Linked DNA regions of Cricetulus griseus. The protein of the gene in region 2 purifies or fractionates together with the protein of the main gene of each other region. This does not show direct contact. Links are inferred from orthologs where the notes say so. Each region holds a gene or a part of one and is shown on either strand. Other genes may lie near its edges.

The links. Proteins that work in one complex are often made in the same cells at the same time.
Region 1: the proteins of Hdac7 (region 2) and 14-3-3 protein epsilon purify together in Homo sapiens (affinity purification with mass spectrometry; 4 studies listed by BioGRID and IntAct, with this or other methods). This does not show direct contact. The link is inferred for Cricetulus griseus from reciprocal best matches to the Homo sapiens genes HDAC7 and YWHAE.

Annotation. Positions count from the first base shown.
Region 1 is NC_048600.1:89,184,025-89,188,236, reverse strand, and holds the start of 14-3-3 protein epsilon, read right to left. Parts: upstream 2,810-4,212; 5' UTR 2,696-2,809; coding exon 2,632-2,695; intron 1-2,631. UniProt on the Homo sapiens protein: Adapter protein implicated in the regulation of a large spectrum of both general and specialized signaling pathways. Binds to a large number of partners, usually by recognition of a phosphoserine or phosphothreonine motif.
Region 2 is NC_048595.1:394,300,574-394,304,083, forward strand, and holds part of Hdac7 (histone deacetylase 7), read right to left. Parts: intron 2,262-3,510; coding exon 2,128-2,261; intron 1,989-2,127; coding exon 1,868-1,988; intron 1,608-1,867; coding exon 1,558-1,607; intron 329-1,557; coding exon 221-328; intron 1-220. UniProt on the Homo sapiens protein: Responsible for the deacetylation of lysine residues on the N-terminal part of the core histones (H2A, H2B, H3 and H4).

The sequences.
Region 1 (4,212 bases), on a different chromosome or scaffold from region 2:
TCCCTTCTATAGAGCCATTTCTATTACACAAACAAAGCTGAATCACTGCAGTCAGTCAAGTAGTGGTGGGTTTCCTGACTGCCTTCCTGCCTCTCCCGCTCTAGATCCCTCCTCATGCCAAATCACTGCAGTGCTTCCTATTGCATTCCCTTCTTTCTTTAAGAGTCTCAAAGGGACAGTCACCAAGTGGCTTGTCTACACTCCTATGTTCAATAACTAACAAGGCCAGACTTTAGTCAGAAACCCTCAGCACTCAAATCACAAGCATGATTTAAAGTTAACTTGCCATTTATTTGGAAGCTACAATCATGCAAGTTTCCAAATCCTTCCTAAAAATGACTCAGAAACAAAGCAAAAAGATTCCCTAATACCTTTCTATTGGGAGGAGGGGTCACATTCACACTAAGCCTAAATCCCCAGTCTTCAAATGTAATTTCATGTTTCCTCCCAAGGACACTAGATTCAGGGGACACTTCTTTCAGGGAGGCAGAGAGAGAACCCTCCATTACAACCAAACTCTCCTGGCTACAAACACTAAAATGAAGGCTGACCTTGAGCTACATTCATACTTTCCCCATCCCACCTCCTCCCACTCCCAACAGAAGCCAACAGCAACTCAAACCTGAAAGGCAAAATTCAGTTTAGTATCTTTCCTAAACTGGGGGTTTTGAAGCCTTCTGTTCTAAATTCCAAAGGCTGGAACAGTAATTTCTGACAAGACTCTAGGACTAGTTCTAGAAAAGCTGCAACAGAGCCAAACTGGAATTCAAGGAAAAGGGTCTGACCTAACTTTTGAAAAACAAGTGGCTTAAGTAATTTGGAAAAAATTAGGGGCAATAACACTTAATTCCAAACATGCATCCCATCCTAGCCCCCAACACTAAAATCACAAGGACCTATCTGCCTTAGTGCACATGCCTTTAATCAAAGCACTCAGGAGACTGATAGGTGGATCTCTGTGAGTTAGAGGCCAGCCTGGTCTACATACTAAGGTTTCAAGAAAGCCAGAGCGACAGAGTGAGACCCTATTCCTAAACAAACATAAATAAATCATGGTAAACATATATGTGATTTATCACTTTTAAAATACTACTTTGATAGATATTGCTTAACTGAAGTATCTAGGTACAAAATCAGAGAAAGGGAAGGCACAAAAAAAAACATAAATTGCCTACAACTGACTAAACACAAAAGATATTTCAATGAAATGGTGATAAGACTAAATTCAAATTAGCACGAGCTAAGGATAGAGCTTAGTGACAGAGAGCACTGTACAAGGGCTTGGGTTACATCACGGGGGTGAGGAAGTAGTGGGTGTCGAGTGAACAAAATAACTATTAAAATATGTACATAAAACCATTTGCTTAAAATAGATAAAACAGAGGTAGAGTGTATCTTAGTATATGAGCACTTGCTTTGCATGCATGCAACCCTGGGTTGGAACCCCAGCCACGCAACAATGAAGTCATAAAACAGGGGGAAAAAAAAAGAATTGTATTTCAAAATCCCCAAGCCTCAACCGAGTCCTCAAAATAGGTAAAGATCCCCAAGCCAAGCAACACGAATTTTCCAAACTTACGTCGTCAACCAAGGGAGTGTTACTAAACATTATTTAAATTAACTATTTTTCAACAGGTCTTTCCATGTGTCATAATGCTGAGTGCGAAGAGAAAAGTCATTTTTACAAACGGGTAGACTTGAGACACGGGTACTGTAAAAAGCCATCATTATTACAGGGTCCTGGCAAGCCTGGTCTCCTGTATTTAAGAATTCTATCCATCAGAACTCGGGCTTCTGAAGGTTGGGAAAAGAAAAAAGAAAAACCCACAGGAACTTTGGGATCCCCTGGGTGAGAACAAACGGAGCACGAGTGAGGCTCCACACATCCATGGGAGGAGGCGAGGCAGAGAAGCCCCCCAAAACCCTCAACTCCGAGGTGCGCCGGCCTGCGGGAAGGAATCCAATCGCAGCATCTCAGCTTGCCTCCACCCAAGGATGATCAATCTGCAGTGATTTCCACACACTCCACCCTCTCCAAAGACGACTCCCCACCAGCGGCCCAGAGAAGCCGTCCGCTCCTGAGGCTTCTCCTTTGTGAGGCTCCACAGCCGCCGCCCCACACTGGGCCTCCCGGGAAAAGCCACCGCCCCCACCCGCCATATTTCCCTGAAAAGGCGCCCGCGCTCCAGCTCCCTAAGATTCCGCCCTCCCCCGAGCGACCGCTGCTGCTTCGCACATCACCCCACCCGATTGTCCTCCGCATCCCGCCACGGTCCCGAAAGCTCCCGTGGGGATTGCGCGCCGGGAGACGGCACCCGCCACCTCCTCCCCCCTCCCCCGCCCGGGGACTCGCCCTCCCCCTTCAGCCGCCATTTTACAACCAACTCCTCCACCCTACTCCCCGGCCTGCTGGCGGGCGAGCGTCTGCAAGCTAAGGACACCGGAGGGGTCAAATTCCTGGGCCCGGAGACTCCCACCGCTTCGGGAGCCCGCAGGACATTTCCCGCTTCCCGACCCGCGTCCCGAGCCAGACTCGGGGACGATGCCGCCATTTTGTCTCCGGTTCCCGGCCTCTGTGGGCGGCGGCGGAGGGTCCGAGACTTCCAGCCCCCCGACACCCCTCCAACTCACCGTCGTATCGCTCGGCCTGCTCTGCCAGCTTCGCCTGGTACACCAGATCCTCCCGATCATCCATAGCGGCAGCGGCTCCGGCAGGGTCTGCGCGACGGATGGAAGCGGATAGCGTCTCCGACTCTCGGCTTCTCGCTCCGCGTCCGAGCAGTAAAAATGGCGGCGCTTCAATCCGGGACTTCCGCCTGCGCACGCGGACAACTGCTCAGCTCTATGGCAACCGCTCCCTGGCAACTGGCGCGGGGGGGCGGGTCCGGGAGTTCGGCGCCAGAAAAGGCTGGAACCAGCACGACTGACGCCCCTCCTCCGTCGGCTCAGCAGTAAGGCGGGAACTGCGACTGCGAAGAAGAACGGCCCAGGCGAGCGGGAGAGGCTGGAGGCCGAGACTGGGCTAAAGGAATGAGCCAGGATCCTGTTCGGTGGCCGCCGGCCGAGGACAGGCCTGCCTGCGGAAAGACCGAGCGAGCGAGAGGCTTGATGGGTTCTTGCAACTGCAGGCCTTCCTCACTGAGACCCACTCACTGTGCATTCCTGCACGTTTTTCTCATTCATGTGCCTTTTTCAGAGCCTTTTAACCTCTGTGTAAAGAACTGACAGGTGAACAAGGGAGGGCTCCAGTTTTTACGCGCCAACTTTTTTCTTGTTCACACACCGTAATCATGTTTTTCTTCCCTTCAGCCGTATTTTATCGCTTTGGCCCATCACAGATAGGACTTTTGTTTAAAGGCCCTGGTTTTAACGTGGTGTTGGTGCCACACTCCTTCAACCCCACCACTCCGGAGGCATTGGAAGGCAGATCTCTATGAGTTCTCGAAGCCAGCCTGGTCTGCACAGTTCCAGGACAGCCAAGGTTACACAGAGAAACCTTGCTTCTAAAAATCAAAAAAGAAACAAAAGTCTCTGGTTTTTTTTGTGTGTGTGGTGGTGCATACCTTTAATCTCAGCATTAAGGAGTCAGGAGGATCTCTGAGATTGGGACCAGCCTGCTCTACAAAGCGAATTTCAGGTCAGCCAGGGCTGCATTGTGAGACCTCCATCGGAAGGAAGGAAGGAAGGAAGGAAGGAAGGAAGGAAGGAAGGAAGGAAGGAAGGAAGGAAGGAAGGAAGGACAGACGGATGTGTGGTGTGTGTGTGTGTCTGTGTCTGTGTCTGTGTCTGGTTTTCCTGGGCATGCGTGGTTATATCCCACCCCTCCATACCAGCACTATAGTGGCTGAGGTTGAAGCAAGTTGGAATAAGATCAGCAACTTGAAGCCAATCCAGGCTATATAGGGAAATCCTGACTAAAGCGGAAAAGAAAGTGGCATGCCTAGTTTGGAGTTCAAGGTGCACCAGAGGTCGAGTAAGGACAAATTGACATTAATTAGCTAGAAACAAATAACCCTCAATCGGAATTGCTTCTCTTGCAATGGACATCATGTTCTGCTTCCCACTGGATTTTCAACGTCCTTTTTTTTAGATTTATTTATTTTACACACATGAGTGTTCTATCTGCATGTATGCCTGCATGACAGAAGAGGTCATCAGCCCCCCACTATACATAGTTTGAGTCACCATGTGATTGCTGGGAATTAAACTCAG
Region 2 (3,510 bases):
AAACAGGTCTTAAGTGATCTTAGGTGGTCAGGACTATCTAAGACACCAAGGCCCTAAGCAACATGACCTTAGAGGTCAAGCCTCACCTTGGTTTCAGCCCCGATTTCCCTTCCAAAACCTTGTAGCAATATCCACAAGAAACGAGAGGTCTGAACTTGGGATCTAGACATGCCACCATCACCCCGCCACCTCTGTGGTTTACCAGCCTTTAACTTCCTACCTTTAGTTCTCGGGAAGCTACTTTGAATGCAAGGTCGGTGACACTGCCTGCAGCCCAGCGGGCTGCATTGGAGGAATGCAGCTCGTTCCAGATGGTGTCAGTATCTACCTGTGGGGGCCAGGGTCAGGGACTGCATCACCCTATGCTTTCCACAGGAGGCAGGGCCCCATGAGGCAGTACCCACCCCATGGCCAGGACCCCAGGGGCAGGGAGCTGGGCAGACAAAGCTGCCTCCCCAGTGCCCCACCGCCCAAAGGCAAGGCCTCCTGTGTCCCCCAGTCCCAGCAGGACTTCTTCCCAGCACCAGCTCGTATGTGGCCAGCACTCTGCCTCCCCAGTCAGGGGAGGGGGCATGGCGTTACCTGGGCGGGATTGGGGTTTGGGCCCGGAGGGGTTTTAAGCCCCAGCTGACTCTGCTCAGGCCCTGCAGGACGGTCGGAGCTGGAGGGGCCGTCTGCACCACTGTCTTCCACTCAGAGCCCCTAGCCCAGGCTGGGAGGCCCCCCAAACCCAGTCCCTGGGCCTCAAGGCTAGGGAGGGGCCGGGGGCCATGATGGGGAGATGGGAAGGGCGAGGCGGACCGAGAGAGGCGAGGAAGGCAGAAAGAGTCGCAAGAGGCTGGAGAAAGAGAGAAAGAAAGGACAGAGAGGGAGAGGAGGGAGGGGAAAACAGAAGCAACAATAGTTGGAAAAACCAGAAAGTGGCAAGAAATGGGGAGTTGTGAACAGGGCACTGACTGTCTCCCCAACAGCTCCCCCTCCCCCCCCGGCAGCTCCCACTGCCTCCATCTCATCTCCACACACCTTGCCTGGCACCTTTAGAGGCAGGAAGGGCCATGCCAGCAGTATCAAAGAGACCTCCGACAGGTGAGGGAGAGGCGGGCAAAGCTGGAGGGCTAGAAGGCTATGTCCTGGGTAGGGGCATTCTAAACCTCTAAGTACATGGGAGGTGCCCCACGGCCCCCACACTAGGCAGTCCAAGGTCTGGAGGTCAAGTAGGGTACACCTGGAGTGCCTGAAAGAGGCCCACTCCTGGACAGGCAGAGCTGCTAACTCCTGGGACACAATCTCAAGCCCCAATGTGACCCTGCCTTGGGCCTCACTCAACATCTACCAAACACCTAACTGTGAGGCACTGGGCTGCACACTCGTGGGACACTAATGGGACTGGGATACATCTATCACAAGGAGCTTCCAGCCAGCAGAAGAGCATAACGGGGAAGGCCCTGACAGAACCACAAGTCACAGGTGGCAGAGGGGCGGGAGTGGGCCAAGAGAACCGAAGGGAAGGCTGAAAGTCCTTAGTAATGCCCACTTGAGATCTCTGGGCATACTTACCCCAACCCCACCACAGGGTAGCATCACAAACATCCGCTGTGCCAGGAGTCCTGTGGAGAGAGGCCCGGTCACAAAAGTGAGGAACGCAGAAGCCCTAAGAAGAGTGTATGGAGGGAGAAACAATACAGGGAGATATGGAGATGGGCGGGGTGGAAGTGGGGCTGACGGGACACATGGACAACACCAGGGCAGCAAACTGGCGGGGGATATCCAGGAAGCTGTGCACAAGTGAGGCAAGAGCACAGAGGTGGGTGAGATGGGTGAGCTTAGGGTGATTCGGGGCCAGACATCATATGGGTCCCTCCCCTACCTGTCAGCTTCCCATTATCCAGTTTGAGGCGGCTGAGGGGGTTGGTGCCGTAGAGGAGTACATGCCTTTCAGAGTGGACTGATTGCAGCTCCTCTAGGGAGGCCTTTCGGCCTCGGAGACACTGAGAGAGGGCCCACAGAGCTCCTGAGGTTTGCTCACCCCTGACCTTCTGCTACCACCAGACCACCCATTGTCTCATCCCTTACTGACCCCAAAGCCTCTCGTCCCTTCCCTTGCACAGCCCCACTGCCTTGCCTCACCTCACACCGGCTTCGGAGACCTCGCTCCTGCAGCCGGGACCAGATGCTCTGGATGCGGCCTGCATGCTCGGGGTGCTTGCTGTTGTCTCCACAGGAGCACTGGTGCTTCAGCATCACCGAGTCATAGACCAGCCCTGCAAGAAACAGCCATCCGTCAGGGCTGGAACTCGTAGTGGAGGGGCCTCCACCATGGCTGCAGATGGAGAGCAGCCCATGCCCAGAGAGCTAGGCATATACACATCCCTTGCTGCTACACATGTCTGTGTTCCCTTCCCAGGCCTTCTGTGAAGAGCTAGCCCTGTCTCTCTGTGCACATGCCTAAATGCCTCAGACAACCTGATGTACACACCAGTGCCAGCCTGCCTTGCTCTGCATGACCCTTGATTTCTTGGTATTCGTACTCCCTATAAGGCTCAACCTATCTCCTATGCCCTTTAGAGTTCATGTCCTAAACCCAGAGAGACTTAACACAGGGCATCTCCCTCTCAGTGTCACAAACTCACAGAGGGTTTGTGTCCCAACACAGAGAAGAAAGACAATTGGAGGGAAACCTCAAGACTGGGAGAGAGGATACCCACAATGTTACAGGCCATGTGGTTAGTCTCCCAACTGCACATGGAAAACACTCAGAAAGCTAGTTTACCTTGTAAACATTATGCAAATAACACAAAACTATTTACATAGCATCTACGTTGTACTAGGTATTAAAAGCAAAGTAGAAGTGATTTCAATGTGGAAAGATATGCGTAGGTTACATGCAAATACTATGCTGTTTTACATGAAGAACTTGAGCTTCTGTGGTTTCAGTGTCTTTATAAACTGGGCAGGGGTCCTAGAATCAACTCTCTGAGGGACTGAGGGCTTTCAGCCTAGCCCAAGGGAGGTCTCCAGAAACAGGCCCTGTATATGCACACTGCTAGTGGGAGGGCTGGGGGCTTGCACATCTCAGGGTACCAAGGACTTTCAAAATGCTCACACTCCTTGACCCAGGAATGCTACTCCTTAAGTGTGACCCTAGAGAAATAATCCCAGACAGAAGACAGGACTGAAACATAAGAAAATTAAAGGTCAGGCATCGGTGGCGCATGCCTTTAATCCCAGCACTTGGGAGGCAGAGGTGGGTGGATCTTGTGAGTTCCAGGCCAGCCAGGACTTCATAGTGAGAGTCTATCTCAAAAACTAACAAACAAAAGCAAATTAAAACTAAAGCTGGACTGTGGTGGCGCATGCCTTTGATCACACCACTCAGGAGCCAGAGGAAAGCAGACCTCTGTGAGTTCAAGGCCAGTCTGGTCTACAGAACGTATTCCAGGATAGCCAGGTCTACACAGGGAAACCCAGTCTCAAAAAACAAAACAACAAAAATGAAAAAGCGGCCAGGTG